5 linked regions of the Nothobranchius furzeri genome follow. The protein of the gene in region 5 interacts with the protein of the main gene of each other region in a pairwise test. Links are inferred from orthologs where the notes say so. Each region holds a gene or a part of one and is shown on either strand. Other genes may lie near its edges.

Region 1 (4,260 bases), on a different chromosome or scaffold from region 5:
CATCACTAATTGCAAGGTTTTGTCCAAATTACAACCACCCAAAAGCTCCACATCATCTAAAACTTGGTTTGTTTATTACCTAATCAAAAGTTAAATGACAACTAGATTATCATTTTAGCTAATGTCATTTGTTAGCTAATAAACACAACACAACACACCCAACCAACAAAACAACCCAGACAGCAGCTGTGTTTTTCTCACTAATATTTACTGGAAACAAGAATCAAAGATCCAAGGTCCTTTCCATCCTGCTGTAGGACATCTAGTAAAGTAACAGGATGTGTCATAAAATAGTACACAACAAAATACTTCGGTTGAATCTAGCAGTGAGATGATTTATGTGTAAAATTATTAGATTTTCAACCTTCTGACCCCCAAAATAATAACTTGTGACCCCAAATGTTGATGGCTGAACAAGACAAAAACAATTAAAAGGCCAAATATTCAAGAACATAATTGGAACACAAACAACTTCAACTCATACCACTTTTATATGCTTATGATTCATATTTTACAAAAATAGCTTGGAAATATCTTATTTGATCATTGTTTGAAAGTTTTATTTGAGTTTAATTTAGTGTTTTGAGACCCAACGTGGGTCAGGGTAAAACTGGAGAAACGATGTTCAATCAAACAACCGCTAAGATCTAACCCTAACCCTTTTACTCAAATCAGACTCCTCCAATGACCCTAGAGGGTTCATGTTAATTAGCTAAACCCTGTTTGTTACAGTGGCAGCGTTACTTGATGGGAGGAGGTATGTAAGGTAATTTAATGTGCAGAAGGGAATTTAAATTAATTCAGTTTAACAGCTTTGCTTTATTTTAACATATTTCTCTGATATTTTTCATGTGTTTTAGTTACATATTATTTTATGAGATATTCAAATGTTAATTTGAGAAGAAAATTACCATGGCAACCATCAACAGGTCCATCAAAGTCATAGTTTGAGATATTTTGTGATCAAGACATTTTTACTAAATATAAGCTTCTTAGGACAAACCTGTTTAAATTCCTCTTCTGCTTCATATAACCAGGCATGCTTCAGCTTCTCCTTGTCTTCTGCCAGATCCATTATCTGCTCAAAGGATGCGTTGTCCTCACTGGTATTTTTAGCAAGAAAACGGTCTAAACTGGGCAGGGTTTTCTCTTCCTGGTCATTGTTCTTTTTTTCTATGAATAAATAATTTGTTTTTAAAATACGATTAATTGCAGTTCAATGTGTACATGTCTATTCTTATAACAAAAAAGAGAGTAAAAACTTTTTTTTTACTATAACTTACCAGCATCTAAACCTTTACTACTGTAAGTTGTAGAGGGAGATCCTGGGTGACCCACTGGTGTCTCAAAGCTGGCAGGAGTCACATCTTGCACATAAAAAAGTAAAAACACAGCAACAATACAATCAATATTTACTTTAGAGTGAGCAGAGAAAACGAAGAAGCAGTTTTCTGCGCATCTGGTCTTCAGTTAGCCTAAAAGAGCATGTCACCCCTCTATTCATTGATCTCCATTAGCTACCTCTAGCTGCATGCATAAAATTCAAATCGCTAGCACTAGCATACAAAGTCCTGGATGGTACAGCTCCCATCTACCTGAATCCTCTTGCAAAGGCTTATGTCACGGCCCGGCCACTCCGGTCATCGAAGGATCGTCGGCTAGCAGTACCTACACCATGCTCTCTTTTCATGTATTGTTCAACAGATGTGGAATTACCTACCAAGCACTACTAGAACAGGGGCTTCCTTGTCGATTTTCAAGAAAATCCTGAAGACCCAGTTCTTCAAGAGAGCATCTTCTAATCTAGCACCCTCCCAGCACCCGTCCCCCACTCTACTGCACACTCCATGTTCGCTTCCCTCTTTGATTGGTTATGCTGCCTGTCTGCCAAGATTGACTGAATAGTGTTTGTTGTTAGCCTCGAGGGCAACCTGCTGGCTTGATTACCACCTGTAAGTCGCTTTGGACAAAAGCATCTGCTAAATAAACATAAACGAGGTGTGTTGAATCCCAACAGTTATTATTTTGTTTCTACTCACAAGGTACGGACGTTCGTGGGGTAGACTTGGTCAAGGATGATCCATATCTGATTGATATGTCTCTCATTCTCTCAAGATCTCCATTTTCCTCTGCTTCCAGGTAGTCCTTCTGCGCTTGTAGTTTAGTGACATCTGGAAAGAAGTCCCTCTGGATTATTTTCTCCAAGCTCTGTCAAGAGACCAAACATGAATAAATTAACAGCAGAAGGAAGCGTTTTATTACCAATATAATTATCCACCAAACTGTCACTGTACTAACAACTATGATTAAACCTTCATAATATCATTTACCATAACAAAATAAAACAAGCAACAGTCGAAATAATTTTGGTTAGCCTTATTAGCAAATGGGCCGTTTTTAACTGGAGCCTAAACTCATATTGTTTCAAGTCCCTTACCTGAATGTATTCCTCTTCATCGAGAATTTTTCTCTTCAACGTGTCCTTCTCCTTGTTCTCGGGATGACTGACAGCGACTGTCGTGACGGCTGGAGGTACGAGAGTCCCGGACAGTGCTCTCCTCACGCTACTGCTACCCTCCATTGTGGAGCCTGAGAGTTAGCGTTAGCCTTCAGGCTAGAGACGAGTCACGAGAATAACGAGAAAATAATCTCAGAAAAAAAACTGAGAACGATTTTTCACTTAATAAATACCGTTAAAAACGTAACCGAGGTTTTAAATAATTTCACACGGTGGGAATGGCGCTATATATATATATGGTTTAGAGGCTGACTTTTAGCCACAACACCAACGCACAACACAAAACGTTCTTCTTACGCAATTTAAGCGAGTACGTCACCGGAAGTTATTGTTCTAAACTAATTTCCAGTATAAAAGGCTTATGAAAATATTCTGAATATAAATGATACTATCAGTTATATCACAAATCTACAAGACAAAAACCTGGAATTTTACATTAAGAGATGCATGATCCCATCGTAGTCTTTTCACTTAGAATGACAATCTTTCCTCGGGTCTTTTTCAGCATCCGAAAACAAAAACTGATTTTTAAAAGTCTACATAAAGTTATGTTCTGAATCCTTAAACCAAACCGTTGTGTTCATTTTACTTACTCTTTCAAATTTTTTTTATTCTTTTATTCAACATTTCTCTCACATACCTGCTCCACTTCTCCAGTTTGATGCAAACATACTCAGACAGTATTCATATAATTATGTGTGAATATTTATGATGATAAGCTTTTCTGATAATGAAGATATTTGACCAAAAACAAACAAACAAACTGACAGAATGAATAACAAATGAAAAACATTAAAACAGTTTAAACTGTTCAAATTTATCAGCAACTCAGCATCCCAACTTATCAGAATGTATTATTATTATTGCCCAAGTTAATTAAAACGTAGTAAAATGTTTTAGAATGAATTTACATGATGGATTTTTGATTTAACGCACTGGTGAGTTTATTAATAAAGAAACAATAAAAAGCTTTTCAATCCGTTTGTTTTAATGATCATCTTGCTCTTATCACATTTCATAAGGATTTTTATCAAGCAAATAAATAAAAAAATCAAGTGGCTCAAACAAAAATGACACTCATCAAATGTTAAAAGACAATGTTTTAATGAGGTAAATATTAATGATGCTCCAGGAGTCATCAGGTATTGATACTTTAATTAAGACCAAAGGTGACAGATCATTTGCTGCTGTGGCCCCCAGACTCTCTCTCTGAGCCTGAGATCAGTGGACTCAGTGGTCTCCTTTAAAAAGCAGCTGAAAACTCACCTGTTCAAGCTGGTTTTGGTGTGACCTTCATCATCACCTTCTCCTTGTTCTGCTCTAAACCAATTACGCCTTATCCGGGATCCACTGATTTCCCTCTTTCCTATTCATTTTCTTTTTCCCTTTCCTTGCACATTTAAATCACAAATCTGTTTTTTATGTTTTTCTTCTAATTTTAACCATGTTTTTAAATAATTTTTTAAGTTTTTTTTGTATTTTGAATTTTCTGTTGTTGTGAAGCACCTCGTGAGTTTTTATCTTGAGAGATGCTAAATAAAAGATGATTTTCTTTAATTAAAAAAACATATTTATAATAATTAGGTTTTTATTTTTATTTTTATTTTTTTTTTTGCATGCAGGATTGATTTGGTTTTAATGTGTTTTCATTGTTCCAACGTTCCAGTAAAATTACTTAGAATTTTCAAAATAAACATACGAATAGCTATAGCCTATTTCAGAATTTCCTCTTAAAACTTAAT
Region 2 (4,165 bases), on a different chromosome or scaffold from region 5:
CTTGGACTGTTCTACTAGTCAATAGCTAATATTTGGGGCAGCTGTAGCTCAGGTGGTAGAGCGGGTTGCCTCATGATCGGAGGGTCGTGGGTTCGATTCCAGCTCCCGCCAGGGGAATCCTGCTGTTGTGTCCTTGGGCAAGACACTTCACCCAACATGCCTGTGTTAGTGGTGGTCAGAGGGGCCGACGGCGCCAAATGGCAGCCTCGCCTCTGTCAGACCTCCCCAGGGCGGCTGTGGCTACAAGTAGCTTACCATCACTAGCAGTGTGTGAATGTGAGAGTGTGTGAAAGCGTCTTTGGGTGTCTAGAAAAGAGCTATTTAAGTTCAATGCATTATTATTAATATTTAAATTTAGCCTTTATCAATTATCAATTATATCAATTATAATAAAAATAATTTTCCTGTTTACCAAAGTTCTGGATCATCCTTAATTTCCAAACTCATTGAACAACGAGGTCCTGAGAACCAGAGCTGTAGGATGTAAATGGTAAATGGTAAATGGCCCGTATTTGATATAGCGCCTTCTAGAGTCCTGGAACCCCCCAAGGCGCTTTACAACACAATCAGTCATTCACCCATTCACACACACATTCACACACTGGTGGGGATGAGCTACAATGTAGCCACAGCTGCCCTGGGGCGCACTGACAGAGGCGAGGCTGCCGAGCACTGGCGCCACCAGTCCCTCCGACCACCACCAGCAGGCAACGTGGGTTAAGTGTCTTGCCCAAGGACACAACGACAGCGACAGACTGAGCGGGACTCGAACCTGCAACCTTCCGATTACGGGGCGAGCACTTAACTCCTGTGCCACCATGTAACCCTATTTCTCCCCACTGAGGCTGTTCAGGAACCTCTTTAGCTAATATTTGTACATTTCTACACTTCAGAATAAATAAAATATGAATCAATGGACAAATCAACCAACATATCGGTCTGGTGGACCAATACCTTTAATAGTTTTAGAGTATTTTGGTGCTGAGGTGGACTGGCAGACTTTTGACCCGGAAGACACGATACCTTTAGGGATTTCCAGTTCCCTCTGGTTCTGCTGGGATCCAGATTCCTGTCTTCGCTGGATGAACTGAAGAAGAGCTGACGCCGCAGACTCCCCTTTGGATCCGACGTGATCGAGCAAACGCCGGGCCTGGTTGGGTTTGAACGAGAACAAATTTACCCGAGGCCGAAAGCAGCAGTTCCACTTTTTAAATTCACATTTTAGAGGAGATAACTGCACAGGAAACGGCTCGGCGCACCCGATTAGAGCTTCAGACAGGAAGCTGTGGAGGAAACGAGGTGATGTGCAGAAGTAAAACCCTAATTTAGCAGTCGCTGTACTAAAATCTCCTCTATCCTTCAGTCACATGTCTGACCCGTCTGCGGGTTTATGGCTTTTTACACCAAAGCTTTCCAGATAAATCACTTCATACCTAAAAAAAACGGGTCAGAATGAATGTTAAAAAGAAGCCACAGGCTCAGGATCAGAGGGAGAACCCTAATTTCCATCAGACCCAGATGGAACAACCCCAGGGACCTGCTGGAGATGTGGACGTTCTCGTCCACGCAGAGCTCTAAAGCTCCAAACTAGCATCTTAGAGTGGACTAAACAGGAAGTTGGTACAGCCCAAATAAGGACATGATGACATAAGGGTGAAACTATGTTTCACAAAACAAGTTTTCAAATCCCTTCAAAAGAAGCTGCCTGACACCACAAAGAAGGCTAAAAGATCTCAAAAAGCCAACATCATGACCTGTTCTAGAAATCCAAGAACATAAGAACCCAGAACAACATTTAAACCCTTTTGGGGATTCTTGACGACTGGTTGTAACTGATGGAATCATGAATTTGGTTCTCTGGTATCCTGCTGATGGACATTTGACCTTTGATGTCTGCGTCAATCAGCGATTCCCTTATTATGACATCACAAACAGGGACTTTTTCAAACCGTTTATATTTCGCAAATACTCCCTGAAGCCAAACCCCGACAGATGGACGGGCACTTTCAGGTTTGGAGTGTTTATAGGTGGTGGCACAAAGGTGAGTTTAGTCATATTACGATATGTCCTACTTATATGAATCCAGTCGTCTTGGAAACCGTATTCTGCACCAGCTACCTCCGTCAATCAAAAACAGTAAGTGACAAAAGAGCACAAAATGGAGGAGATGTGTTTACAAATGCCTTTTTTACCTGTTGAGACGGGGTGTGAACAGGCAGCAGGACCTCATCTCGTTCCTCTGAGGAAAAGTGACCTGATTCCAGGAGAGCTTCCAGAGCACCATCCACACAGTCCTGAAGCTTGCAGACCAAACTCAGCCGTTGTATTAGAACTGTCTCTGCAGACGTCTTCTGAACTCTGTCCTCTAAAGGTGGGGGACATCCTGAGGACAGGCCAACTCTTTGGCCTTCTGGAAAGACCTGATTGACAGCAGCGAAGAAGATTCTGCAGGCTTCCTCACCTTTTGTATAAAGCAGGTCGAGCAGCTGCCTGGCGTTGGTGTGCAGGGCCCTCCCCGGGACTTGAATGCTCTGGTAGTCCTCCCATCCCAGCTCCCCCTGAGCCAGCAGCACGTCCAGAACCCTTTCCAGGTGCTCAGCTGAGCCGCTCCTGCAGAGGGCGTGGAGAACCTCTGAACGCTGTTTCAGCAGCAGCTCCTGAGCAAGCATGCTTCAGTCTTATCAGCTCCCATGCTTCAATCCTTCAGCTTCACATCTGGTACCAACCAGTCCATCAGGAAAGCACAGAAATCAGATTTCCTCTAGTGTCCCCCTTCAACAGACTAGAAGACTCGCTCTCACCTGTAAACACAAAGCGACTGACTGCCTTCTCTCCAGCCCTCATCAACCCAAAAGGACCGTTCAACCACCTCTTCCTCATTCCTCGTCTAAAAACCGAAACCTGGTCTGTTTGCCAAGCAGCTCCAGTGGAGCAGAAAGTAAACAATGGCTGAACTACCATAAAGCTTAAGCATCCTCATGAATTTGATTTGACAGGATATTGTTTAAAATGTTTAAACAAACCAACACTAATGTGTTTCAGGGAAATCAAAAGTAAAACACAGATCTAAACCACTTGTAACTTGGTGTTGGAGCCACTAGATGGCGGTGTTCCACAACAAAAACCAAACCAGGAGGCTCGAGCTCATCTGCTTGTGGGGACTTGATAAACCTACATCTCATCCTGGCCATGTGCAACACAGAGGTAGGTCCTTTAACCCTTTCTGCTCCTCTGGCTTGTTGGTTTTTTTTAACGTTGGCAGTCAGACTAATGGTGGGGAGAATTTGGTCATCGCTGGATGCCAAATCTACGCCCCTGTGGGCTCATTTGTCATCTTAAAGTGCGGTTATTACATTTTACTTATCTTCAATTTTGCCCCTAAAACTATCTAATAATAAGTTAACATATCATTTAAAACATGTATTTATCTGATTTAAAAAGTGGATAAATTAAATCAGCCGTTGTGGTCAAACATTTACTCAGTTTTTCACTAGCTTTATTTTTTTACTCAATTGTTTTTTACTTGTATTTTTATGTTATTTTATTTATTTGAGTAGTTTGTACATTAAAGGTTGAATATGGAGCAATTTCATAAAAAGCTATACATTGTTTTAATAATACCTCCACGGGGCGTTTAGAGGTGTGCAGAATGAAGATACAATATTTCCTTTAAAAGCTATATTTTAATTAAAAATATAAGTGCTCTGTTATAGTAAATGGCCTGTATTTGATATAGCACCTTCTAGATTCCTGGAACCCCCCAAGGTGCTTTAAAACACAATCAGTTATTCACCCATTCACACACACATTCACACACTGGTGTTGATGAGCTACATTGTAGCCACAGCTGCCCTGGGGCGCACTGACAGAGGTGAGTCTGTTGTACGTAGGCGCCACCGGTCCCTCCGAACACCACCAGCAGGCAAGGTGGGTTAAGTGTCTTGCCCAAGGAGACAACGACCGCGACAGACTGAGCGGGGCTCGAACCTGCAACCTTCCATTTACAGAGCAAGCACTTAACTCCTGTGCCACCGTCGCTCCATTAGGTTGTTGCCCGTGTTAGGAACATATGGAACAATCAGGTTACTGATGTATGATGGAGCTTGATTATTGAGAGCTTTATATGTGAGAAGGAGGATCTTAAAGAGACAATGTGTAGTTTTTA
Region 3 (4,241 bases), on a different chromosome or scaffold from region 5:
GGGCAGTGCTGCTCTCCTGACAAGCCTCCATTATTCTGAGCTAGTAGCAACACAAAGGAGACAGTTGCCTCTGCACGAGAGACCAAAAATAAATCATTTACAGACAGATCACGGCTGCTCTGTCTGTTATCTCACAACAAAAATGCTTTGATCACTTTTTCACATAAAAAAAAATCTGTTTTCATCGTTGAATTAAACATCATATCTGAGGTTTTATAGAAACAGTCTCCCCATTACAAACAAAAAACATGTTAGGATTTTTTAATATTAGTGTCACGATCTGCCCCTGCCCAACCTGACTGTGTTCCTCTCCTGCCGTGATTGCCCTTATTGTTCTCACCTGTCCCTCGTTTACCTGCCCATGTTTCCCTAATTAGCGGTCCATCATCTCCACCTCCTACACCGTGACAATTAGTTTGTGTAGCCACATCTGATTTATTTGTACAATTTAGGCCACTTTAAAAGTGGTTTACTGGAAAGAAAACCATAAAAGATCATAAAAGCGGGGGTTCCGCTTTTTGAAGTGTTTCTCTTAAAAGGCCAAAAGCAATGAATATCTTACATCCTCCATAAAGCCTTTTGGACAACATCAGTTAGGACGGGTGGACATTGTGTGGCTTTCACTCGTAGCATTCAGCTCCATCTCAAACTGGATGACTTCCTCGCAGAGCAAAGCTCACATGTTCTCTCACTGTACTGTTCACACTGTATGTGTGCTAGCAACACATCGGAGCTAAAATATGCTACAAATAGTCGTTTTTACGCAACATGTCAGACTTTCGATTTCTAAAACCTGTTGTGTTGTTACTGGTGGGTTTTTTTTCAGCATTTATTTGGAAAAATGAACATATTCAAACTATGTTATTAATGTGTGTTATCCTTCGGGCTTGCCATAGAAGGACAACATGGGGTTTATGGGGGTTTGAGAAGGAAGACAAAAGAAAGGAAGTAAAACAATGTTTTATTTGGCATAAAACACACTTTCTTGACAATCCTTGTCACTGTGTGTAGAGAAAAGTATAAAAATAAGTAATACAGCTTGAGTTGATACGAAAATAGCTGACGAGCCGTGTTGGTGCATGCGCTGTGTGAGCAGTTCTGGTACTTTTGGCTCGCAGCGCTGTTCCAACAGTGTGATAACCTCACGAGGGATGAGGAAAATATCAAACATGTTTGATATTTGTGCAATTACTGATTGGGAGCTGGTCGTGCGGTGCTAATCGCCTCTCGTAATCCCTGTATACTACTGGACACACAACACCAAACTCGCCTCAACCTCAAAGATTCTCACATGAGAACGCCTGGCTTTAAGAGGAACAGAAATTATCTCTGGTATGACAAACAAGCTGGTCTACCGTAGCCTTTTAAGCATTTAATTTCAGAAATGCTAAAGCAGCTAGTTTCTGCTGCAAACCACCAGAGTCTTATGTAGTTAATTCACACTAACTACTGTGAGGCTTTTGAGATATTCCTAATCAGTCTGTGACTTGCCCCACTGAGATCAGCATTTGTCCAGTCAGAACTCATCTCTGCTTCTCCAAACTGAGGTTGTTCAGTGCTATCCACAACAGCTACAGTATCCAAACCTGTGATGTTTAAGAGCAACAACGAGTACATTTACAGCCTGAATTTTTGTGTGTTTGATGCCTAAATTAGCAGCACTTAAATGATAAAGAAATCTTCAACTATGTAACCTGACATTAAAATCAACACCTTGAAATTCAGTCTAAAAACCTCATATCAAGTGTTTTTCCTCCATTTGAGCACCTTGCAGATCCTAACAAGATTTACAGAGAAAACTGGTTGGAGATTTCACATACATATTGTTGAGTGAAATCATAACAGATTAATCAGAATTAAGCAGATTCCACCACCAAGAAGCTTTTCTTATTTAAATATTCTATGCTGCTGAAGTTGTTTTTGTTTATTAGACTAAAAACATAACTTTGGTGCACATTTCTTTTGCAGAAACAGAAATACGCACCAAATAATGCTCTAGATGAAATATCTGAATGCCTTTTTTTTATATGAATTTCAATGTCTTTGCAGCAGCGAGGTGATAAACCCGAACAAAGCTTTCCTGGTGTAGTAAAGTCCATCATGCTTGTATCTGTGGAGTCGTACTCGCAGCCAGAGCCTGTTTAGATGCATATAATTAGCTTTCACAAGAAGAGCAAATGGCACCTGTTCCAGACCCACAAGCTATTTTAGGAACTTCTTAATATGGGCATGTTGTTTATTATTTAATTCTATTCCACTCTTTTTTTATGTCAGGGTCAGTGTTTCTTGAAAACATCTTTTTATTGTGGTTAAACTTCAAATAAAGACAAATATCTCTGATCTTTTAACGCTTTTATAAAGAAGTACATGTTAAAATGGAAATTTTACAGAGCTATGTGTAGGAAAACTCTTTTAACTATGCAGCGTTTCATTAGAGGTTAAAATGTTCCCTTTTCTCTCACCAGCAGACAATTTTAACTTCTGACAGCAAATGACGCAGGAAAGTCTCACTGCAATTAACAGCATCTCATCTTCAACAGACTTGGCAAACTCCAAACCGCCACTGGAGTCAGTCCCACGTTTGTTAGACGTGTGAGACAGATGTTAGGAAACCAAGAATTCTATGTTATTTGTGTGCAAATATCAGAAAAGAAGCAGGGTAAAGAGCAGGCAGGGTCTTACCAGGACTGAGGGCCAGATGGGGAACAGAAAGAGTGTGGAGGGGCTCGGACAGGCGGCCACCACTGATGCAACAGCTGTGATAAGAGCCCCTCAAAATAAACCAGGAGAGAGCAGCTCACTGCTCAGAGAGGGAGGACGCTCTGCAGCTCATCTCTGCTGCAAACCTCAGAGTAAAACTCGTTATTTGGTGTTGCACCTTTGCTACTTTAGATCAACGCAGTGCTGATTTAATTTTAAGCTTCGCTCCTATTAGTCATGAAAAGAGACTGAGCAGGAGAGAAGAGAAAACGCTGTTTCTCAGACTGGCCTGATAAGCCTTTCTTTCAGTTTTTTTTATTTTTTTACACAATCTGCTGATTTTGAGCTGACAGTTAAATTCTGAAAGCGGCTGAAAACTATCTACAAGGTGAACACTACTTTTGGAAGCACCCATTTTATTTTACCTCCACGCTGCAGCTGCAGTATTCAATTTTCGCCACCAGATGTAGCTATTACAAGTTTCACACTGGAGATATTTTTTTTCTGCCTCCCTAAAGACAGAAAGTGAATGATGGGCTCTAATTTAAACAGTTGTGAACCGCACAGGTGGAATGATAATGAGAGACCGATGTAGTTGGGGAGGGAGATAATCCAGCATCATTATCCAGCTCAGCACCATTGAAACTGAATATTACTCTCAATAATTATATTTCACGTTGTAAAAAGTAATAAACAGACCACAAAAAATTCTCCTCCTTCTGATTATATGAGATTAATATCTGTTGACAGGGCCCAATGTCTAATTTAATTCTTTGATGTAGGAATCCATTTTCTAAACGTGGGGAAATAAATATACCATATCTAAAATTGAAATCATCTTTTGGGGGGGGGGGGGGGGGGGGGGGGGCACCGGTGCATTTCCAGGAACCAAAAGTGAGCCTCATCACAGCTGTCTTATTTTCTGACATTTGGACATTTTACCTCAGATTACTTAACAGCAACGCACCTCTAACACTGACTGGCTTTTCTAATCCTTGTTTCACCATAGCAGGACATATGTGTGGGAGACTATTTTCATGTTCAGCCAGCATAACTTAGTGACTGATCAGAAATAATAATAAAAAATATGTTTTCAGAGTTAAGGTTATAAATCTGGCCACGTGCAAAGTAGCAGCTACGCTAGGGAGATGAGATTCTGCGCCGACGTCATATTTGCAAGTTTGCAACTTCTGCTTTGTAATTTTTTTATTTATGACTTTTTTAAGCAAATAAATCTCAAATTACGTGACAGACATAGTCAAAACACATAATTATTTATCATTTAAATTGAAGTAAAACATATTTGTGATTCAGTGCGTAAGCTAAAGCGGACCAGGAAATAACTTTGACAGCCCCGTTCACTTATGTTCAGTTTTTGTTTCAGTACCTATTTGTTAAAATTGTAATAACACAAAGCAAATCTGTGTTTATTATAATGTATTTTCCTACTAAATATTTGTAAATTTATAGTTTGAAAGGGATTTCCAGTTCGCTAGGCTAGGCTAGCTGTTAGCTGTGCCTGCTCCAAAACAACAACAATT
Region 4 (4,021 bases), about 10 Mb from region 5:
ACCCCAGTCCTGACACATCTTCACTGGCACCCTGTCATTTTCCGAGTACAGTTTAAGGTATTGATTTTTGTCTTTAAAGCACTCAACGAAGAAGAAGCTACAATGATGTTCTGCTGAGCTGTGGTGGCCTCATGGAGGGGGCCATCGTCTAGCACAATGCTGCTAACCACTCAAACATTCTCCCTCTCCTGATAATAACGTTTTGCTTTCCTTGACGTTGGATGTGCTACTGCTAGTTTATCCGTTTAATTATAGATCCACTAGGATAAATACAATAAAGTTTATCTCTCACCAAATAGAATATTTACTAAGAAATCACAATGTAACTATAGACACATTACTGTCTGTCTGTCTGTGTGTGTGTGTGTGTGTGTGTGTGTGTGTGTGTGTGTGTGTGTGTGTGTGTGTGTGTGTGTGTTATACTGAGCCAGGATTCTCTGGAGGTTTCTTCCTGTTAAAAGGGAGTTTTCCTCTCCACTGTCGCTTTATGCTTGCTTATTATGAGGATTGCTGTAAAGTCACTAGTCAGTGACTTGATGCAATTTGCTGGGTTCCTTATATAGGAAACATTATTTCTGATTGGCTTAATGAACTGACCTGAATTGGAATGTTTATTATGTGAAGTGCCTTGAGAAGACTCTTGTCGTGATTTGGCGCTATATAAATAAACTTGAATTGAACGACCTGTCACCTCCTAATCTCTCTGACCTGCTCACTCCCTATGTACCCACGCGCACGTTGAGGTCGGCTGGCCTCCTGCTGCTTTGCACTCCCCCGATGCGTTACAAATCATGGGGTGAACGAGCATTTGTACATGCTGCCCCAAAGCTGTGAAACTCTACCTATTACAGTTCGACAGGCTCCATCATTGGCGGTTTTTAAATCTCGTTTAAACACCCACTTCTACGATTTGGCTTTTACGCCGTGAGTCGTTTTGTTTTATTGTATTATTGTTTTGATGTGTTCTTAGTATTCCTCATGTTTTATTTGCTTTTATTGATCGGCATTTTTATCCTCTGTTGTTGCTGCTTTGATGGGTCGTGATTTGGTCCAGCCTGTGCAGCACTTTGGGCAGCTCCCATGCTGCGTTTTAAATGTGCTATATAAACAAACTATGGTATGGTAAGCTTGTAGTTTCTTGTCTTGTTCAACAGATGTTTAAATGGTAAATGGCCTGTATTTGTATAGCGCCTTCTTAGGGTCATACAACCCCCCCCCCCCCCCCCCCCCCCCCCCAAGGCATTTCACAACACAATCAGTCATTCACAAACTGGTGGGGATGAGCTACGATGTAGCCACAGATGCCCTGGGGTGCACTGACAGAAGCGGGGCTGTGGAGCACTGGCGTCACCGATCCCTCTGACCACCACAAGCAGGCAAGGTAGGTTAAGTGTCTTGCCCAAGGACACAATGACAGTGACAAACTGAGCGGGGCTTGAACCTGCAAACTTCCAATTACTGGACAACACGCTCTACCTCCTGAGCTACTGCTGTGTTTAGAAAAGTGGGCTCGACTCTGTCCGTCCTTGGCTGCCTGTTGGAAAGCCCTCTCAACAATGGATAATGGTGTTGCGTGTTTCCGTACTGACGCAGATGGAAAAGTATAAATTTGGCTTAGGCCTTCCAAATCGTGAGCCATGGTGGGTGAGTCCATGGATGTTAAGAGTCAGTGTAATGTAGATCTGTCAGGCTTTTAAAAACCTAGCATTTCACCATCTATTTTCTATCAGATGCCAATGCAGGAGATAGGTGTAGGAGACTATTTTCATGTTCAGCCTGCATGAAAAACTCTGAGTGACCCATTGTAATCAGAAATACGATTTTAAAAAATGGTTTCCAGTGTTCCACACCTTTAATAACACAATACAATACAATTATTGATGTCAAGTTGTTGTTATTGTTGTTGTTAGCCTCAGGGGCAACATGCCGATTATCACTTGTAAGTCGCTTTGGACAAAAGCGTCTGCTAAATACATAAACATAAACAATACATATCTTCCATCATAAGCTGATTAAGTTGTTCAAAATTAGTTTGCACATATGAGAACCAAGATTTACTCTTTTACAGTCATAAAGACAAAATAAAAGCTAAGAAATCTACCAAATGAGGACCAGCTGTACCACTTTGATGAGTGGAAGATCCGAATTCAGGTGTGTGTGATCACATCAAATGGAAAAATCCGCTAGAATGCTTTTAATCATTAGCAGGAACAAACATATTGTCTCTCACCTGAAGTCAGGGATGCCTGCTGAGGTGCTAATTCCAGCTCCAGAGTGGACAACCAAGTACTGAGATTCTTTAATCAGCTGAGCGAGGGCTTCCACTTTTGCTTTTAGCTCCTCCGGATTATCAAAACTCTGGCACAGATCAAAAACACACAATTAAACAATTAGCAAGGGGGCGACTATTGTATACAACCGTGCCAGATGTGTGGCAACAACAAAAGAACACACCATCATCTATCCTCCACCGTGCTTCATAGTGTTTATGTTAAATAACAAAGAGGCTAACACAGCACAGACGGTCTGCTCTACAACACCGTCTTTATATTATTACTCTTAAACGAACCAAACAAAAATGCATTCTCAATGAAAGCGACGCTACGTTGCTAATTTAACTAGCTCTTTGAAAAGCTCTCGGAGCGATACAACACCTAAATGTTACCTCAGGTAGACCGCAAACACCCTTATCCGCGTAAGGCGATAGTCCTGCAGCGTAGTTCACAGACATGACTGTAACTGTTTATTTTTTTTTTCTTTGTTTTACAAACTGTTCTTGTTTTATCTGTTGCGTATTTCTTCCAGCCAGGTTTAGGGTGCTTCGTTTGAATGACGACATCACTGTGCGCCGACACATGCTGCATTCAAGAACTTCAGGAATTAAAATACCTCAACGTGCGCTCCACCTTCGTTCAGACCAGTTTAGACTTGTGGTAGAGATTAGATTAGACCGTACAGCTGTTAGAAATTGAGTAAAAATTTAAATCCAAATTACACAATGAAACTGAATATATTAGAATAAAAAGTCTGATAATAAAAACTGAAAAATCCCACAGAACAAAACGGTTCGGTGCCTTTTAAAAATGGGATTTAACCTGATCAGACATTCCACAAACAAGGACATTTATTCTCAAACATATCTGTAAAATGACTACATTTAGACTAAAACTAAACAAAAATCTTCCATCTTCACCTGCAGAACAACTTTTAAAAAATCATTTAAATGACTCCAAGCTTTAAAAACAGTATGCATTTTTCTTTCAAATTAATCTTTATTTTTCATTTTTAAATATTTGAGAAAAAAAAAACAGACAGAAAAGTAAAACCATATGGTGATCATTCATACGTGTGCATATTGGATTATGGTTCCTGTAGAAGCTGTGAACTGACACTGAAGACCACCGAAAGAGGAAAGGAGTTGCTCGTCTCAATTGTTTTGTCGCGTATAATTTTATCCTGAGTAATTCAATATGATGTCCCAATTAAAGTAAATAAAACAATAATGCTTACTGAAGACAAAATTACACATAGGACATCCACACACTCTAAAAACAAAATCAAAACCACTCTTACAAAAAAATAAATCAATAAAGGGGGCTAACATTTCATTTTCAGTTGTAGGGCTGAAGAAGTTTGATCTCGGTAGTACACACCGACACAAGACTACCTATTCCAGTGCATGCCGAACATCTAACAAAGAAAAACTAAAATCATAGGGCCTGCAAGAAAGCAAAAAGAGAAACATCTGGCAAAGCGTATTAAAATTTAATTTACACTCTGCTTTAGTTCTTCGGGTCCATCAGGCGGCTCAGAGAGCAACGCTGAGGAGAAATACAATTCTAATCAATAATTAGTTCTGCCCCTCTAACCTTCAACAACTTGATTATTACACAACTTTAATAACAAGTTCATTCAAAAAAACACAACCCCACACTGAGTGACAGAAAAACACATCCAAGATAAAAACCCAGCAGAGATCAATTTCATGTTTTAGTAAGAATGTTCATATGAGGAGCTGACT
Region 5 (3,970 bases):
GTAAAGGGTCTCATTCAAACCACATAATTAAAAAGGTCCTTAAGCCCATTTATAAGCTAAATTTATGTTTATTGTGAAATTTCCTTCTAGTTTCTCTGAATGAAATTAAAAATTCCAACAGTGATGGAATGTTTAGTCATTATTTCATTCCTCCACTTAATTAAGCACGAAGCTTTTGTTTTGGAAGACAGAACCCATAATGAAACAAACCTGTTGTTGTGCCAGTGCACAGCTTCATCGGGGCGTTGGCAGGCCGTTGATTGAGGTATCAGCAACAGAAGCTGCTTTGCCCATGTGTTAATGCCACAAACAATGTGGACCATTCAGCAGGGGTTCCAAAACATGCCCAAAGGCTGGAAGAGTGACTGTCTGCCTGACTGAGCAGGAGCCGGCTGCTGGCCAAACATTGTTGTCTGTTTGCCACGGAGGCAGACCACTCATGCAATTCCTTCCTGCCATACAACAACCTGATTTAAGCCCAAATCTGCACCGAAAAAACATAAAATCAACAAAATGTGTATTTATGTGTTTAAGTTATTCACCAAAGTGATGTTTTTGACCTATTTGTGTACAGTAACCGCCATATAACTCTATTCACATGACCTATCAACTGGAAAACCAGTGACAGGGAACAGAACCATAACAAGAGAAATTCTTATGTGAACGAGACAGCCGGATCACGCGGTGGCCCGTCTTCTCGCTCTGATAACCACATCAGACCAGTCAGACTCCAATCGAGCAGAGCAAACTTGGCCTTTTGTACCAGCCAGGCCAGGGCACTCTTTAACTGTTCGGAATCATGTCTGGAACCTGCTGTTGTGTCATCAGAGCGGTGCATTCCTGCCTCTGTGGCTCATGAGCCAAAACTAGACAGATTACCTAAAAGAGAAAAGGGATGCACTCCACTGCACAGTTGGAGGTTTGCGTCATCGATTTGGGGATTTTGGGTCAAAGTTATGAGAAGCTGGGGGCAGTTGGTTCACAACTCTGTAGCCAGATTTCTGACAGGGAAGTCGGCACACATCACTCCTGTGCTGGCCTCATTACATTGGCTCCCTGTAGATTTTCGGGCAAAGTTTAAAGTTCTCTGCTATATCTTCTGGTCTTTTTATGGTGATGCTCCACCATATTTGGCAGAACTAATAAAAAGACACCCCATCACAAATTCTACGCTACTGACTGTCCCTGTCATGTTCTGCCCCTGCCTTCCTGACTGTGTCTTTCTCCTGCCCTGATTAGTCCTTATTGTTCTCACCTGTCCCTCATTACTCTGCTCTTCCTGATTTCCCTGTGTATTTATATCTCCCTCCTTGTACCAGTCTTCGTCGGATCATTGTATGTGCATGTGCTCGTTTTGTCCTGTCGCTCCCGTTTACTATTAAATCCATTTTTATTTCATCTGTGCCTGCTCTCCTGCCTCCTGAACTCTCCACCACACATTGTCTGCCATCTCCTCCCTCACATGACAGTCCCAAATACTAGGTACAGATCTAGAGGAGTTCGGGCTTTCTTGGTCTTGGTTCCTTCTTTTGGAATGAGCTTCCATTTGATATTAAACCATCATTACAGGATTTTAAGAGTCATTTGAAGACTAATTTGTATCCTTTGGCTTTTATGTGACTTGGTTTAATGCTTTTATGCTGCTTTTACACTTCATGTTTTAAGTGTATTATATGCTCAGCGTATTGGCCTCCTGCAAAGGCAGTTGCTATATAAATAAAGATTGATTGATTGATTGATTGATTGATTGATTGATTGATTGATTGATTGATTGATTGATTGATTGATTGATTGATTAATTGATTGATTGATTGATTGATTAAAGCTGAGCAATTTTGCAACAAAACAGAAACATTTTTTAGCTAGCTGAAGTCATCATTCTATCTCATACCTGTCTAAAACTTTGCATGTTTGCCTCTGCCTCTTCCCTCTGGGAGATTTCATCCTGCAGCCTGCAGGAGGGGAGAACACAGAGAAAGCTGTTATTTTATATTTAGCATAAGCAGGAGCTTTCTTCCATGCTTCTTCTTTTCAGTTTTGTCTTCTTTGATTTTACTTCTTACTCATCTGAACAGCTGCAGAAATGAATAATAACAATAAGGAAATCATGGCCACATGTGCCACGCCTACTTCTCTCTCAGCCTCTCTATGTCATCCGCCAGATTGTCCCGGTGGACCTCCACCCGGGCCTTCTCGTTGGTGAGCTGGTCCACCTGACGCCGCAGCTCCCGCATCTCGTCCTCGTAGAGATCCCCGACCCGGGACGTGCCTTTGCCCCGCAGCTGCTCCAGCTCCGCCAGCAGGATCTTGTTCTGCTGCTCCAAGAAGCGCACCTTCTCGATGTAGTTGGCGAAGCGGTCGTTGAGCGACTGCATCTGCGCCTTCTCGTTGGTGCGGTTCGTCATGAACTCGCTGTTGATGGCGTCGGACAGGGAGAAGTCCAGGTTCTCGGAGGCCAGCCGTGGCATGGCCGCGCTGCTCCGGAGCCTCTGCGTCTTCATTGCGTAAACGGTGGTCGGAGCGGAGGAGAGCCCGTAGGAGACCCGAGAGGAGCGCAGCGGGCTGGAGAACTGGCGGCTGGAGTAGCTGGTCCGGGCCGTGGCTCGGTCCCCTCCGAACATCTTTTTGTAGGAAGAATGAGGAGCTGGTCTGTAGGACATCTTACTGGGTTCTGTTGAGAGTGTCCACCTCACCTCTGCAGCATCAGCGGTGCCCTAGAAAGGCGTTTCCCTCTCCAGAACTTATTTATAGCCCCCTCCTCCTGCAAAAAGCGCCAAGTAGAACTTGACTGACACCCCCAGACTCCAATCCTAGATCAGAACACACACTTGGCTTTCTGAGGCCAGATGCCTTCTAAGGTGCACAACAAAACTGAGAAAGGTCACAAAGCTCTTTTGGATGGAAAAAAAATCTCCCTTTTTCTCAATTACTTGATATATGAAGTGGTGAGTCTAAGCTTCTAAATAAAATCTATTAAAGTTAACAGGCGTTTTGTGGGTGAGGTTAACATTTCAATACATTTAAATAAAGTTTTGAAAAATACCTTATAAGTGGAAAATAACTCAATAAAGGGACATATTATTACTTTTTAACTTATAGTTATAATAGATCTGTGGTCAATACAAAACAGGTTTATAATGTTCTCTCACAAGGAGTGATTACTATTATTCTTTACATTTTCAGTACCTTCCAGAATGAGCCATTTGAGAGCTCTGTCACTTTAAACCTGCAATAACAAATCTCTAAAACAAACTAGAATTTAAACACAAACATGGTCACGGAGTGCTCACCCCTCCCTTGGCTATCATCCCCAAGCCAAGTCCCTTGATACCAGAACCCACATTGCCACAGTAAACAAGAGACCGCTAAAAATCAGTCGCATTTTCTATATCCAAAAATCTTTTGTTTTCCATTGTAACGTCCAGAAATGGTCAGTTTTTCATCCACAGTTTGACCTCTTCAGTATCCAGTCAGATGGAGACATGAGTCTACATCTAGTGTCTTTAATCTGCTGAATTCTGCTATTTTATCAGCTGAAGTTCAGGCCTCTGCAGCTTTGAACACATGGATAACATATTGTAAACAAAACTGTTCCCGTTTCAAGGCCTTAAGCTTTCTCTTATCGCTTCTACAGGATTCCTCCTGCCTCTGAATAAAAGTGAACACTTTCAGCTCATATGAGTTAATTAATCACATAATGAAATAAACAATGTGGTTAAATGAAATGTTTTGTTTAATCTGTGCTTAGATTAATAAGGATGAAATGAAATATATGACCCATATATTTAATCAACGTACGTGACTTGACAAGCACACACTCATACATATGACTAAAGTAATCTCATGACACATTGCTTTCTGATCCACAAATCAGAGCTACTGTATCTGAGGGAGGTGTGTATCTGAGGTTGGTTGGTAAAACCCCTTTACATGTCAAATTCTGGTTGGCCATGTAATCATAATATGGCAA

Evidence for each region. The genes of interacting proteins can lie anywhere in the genome.
Region 1: the proteins of vimentin (region 5) and ess2 interact in a two-hybrid assay, tested with the Homo sapiens proteins (2 studies listed by BioGRID and IntAct). The link is inferred for Nothobranchius furzeri from reciprocal best matches to the Homo sapiens genes VIM and ESS2.
Region 2: the proteins of vimentin (region 5) and nod2 interact in binary tests that used the Homo sapiens proteins (3 or more experiments, as listed by UniProt). The link is inferred for Nothobranchius furzeri from reciprocal best matches to the Homo sapiens genes VIM and NOD2.
Region 3: the proteins of vimentin (region 5) and txlnbb interact in binary tests that used the Homo sapiens proteins (3 or more experiments, as listed by UniProt). The two-hybrid records come from large-scale screens. The link is inferred for Nothobranchius furzeri from reciprocal best matches to the Homo sapiens genes VIM and TXLNB.
Region 4: the proteins of vimentin (region 5) and sirt6 interact in a two-hybrid assay, tested with the Homo sapiens proteins (2 studies listed by BioGRID and IntAct). The link is inferred for Nothobranchius furzeri from reciprocal best matches to the Homo sapiens genes VIM and SIRT6.

The regions. Positions count from the first base shown.
Region 1 is NC_091746.1:52,059,087-52,063,346, forward strand, and holds the start of ess2 (splicing factor ESS-2 homolog), read right to left. Parts: upstream 2,806-4,260; 5' UTR 2,582-2,805; coding exon 2,438-2,581; intron 2,209-2,437; coding exon 2,040-2,208; intron 1,368-2,039; coding exon 1,284-1,367; intron 1,174-1,283; coding exon 1,004-1,173; intron 1-1,003. UniProt on the Homo sapiens protein: May be involved in pre-mRNA splicing.
Region 2 is NC_091749.1:70,956,386-70,960,550, reverse strand, and holds the start of nod2 (nucleotide-binding oligomerization domain-containing protein 2), read right to left. Parts: upstream 2,806-4,165; 5' UTR 2,670-2,805; coding exon 2,193-2,669; intron 1,151-2,192; coding exon 1,024-1,150; intron 1-1,023. UniProt on the Homo sapiens protein: Pattern recognition receptor (PRR) that detects bacterial peptidoglycan fragments and other danger signals and plays an important role in gastrointestinal immunity.
Region 3 is NC_091758.1:20,072,794-20,077,034, forward strand, and holds the start of txlnbb (taxilin beta b), read right to left. Parts: upstream 2,806-4,241; 5' UTR 2,683-2,805; intron 71-2,682; 5' UTR 32-70; coding exon 1-31. UniProt on the Homo sapiens protein: Promotes motor nerve regeneration. May be involved in intracellular vesicle traffic.
Region 4 is NC_091751.1:57,913,091-57,917,111, reverse strand, and holds the start of sirt6 (NAD-dependent protein deacylase sirtuin-6), read right to left. Parts: upstream 2,806-4,021; 5' UTR 2,732-2,805; coding exon 2,666-2,731; intron 2,359-2,665; coding exon 2,231-2,358; intron 1-2,230. UniProt on the Homo sapiens protein: NAD-dependent protein deacetylase, deacylase and mono-ADP-ribosyltransferase that plays an essential role in DNA damage repair, telomere maintenance, metabolic homeostasis, inflammation, tumorigenesis and aging.
Region 5 is NC_091751.1:47,677,142-47,681,111, reverse strand, and holds the start of vimentin, read right to left. Parts: upstream 2,809-3,970; 5' UTR 2,661-2,808; coding exon 2,131-2,660; intron 1,953-2,130; coding exon 1,892-1,952; intron 1-1,891. UniProt on the Homo sapiens protein: Vimentins are class-III intermediate filaments found in various non-epithelial cells, especially mesenchymal cells. Vimentin is attached to the nucleus, endoplasmic reticulum, and mitochondria, either laterally or terminally.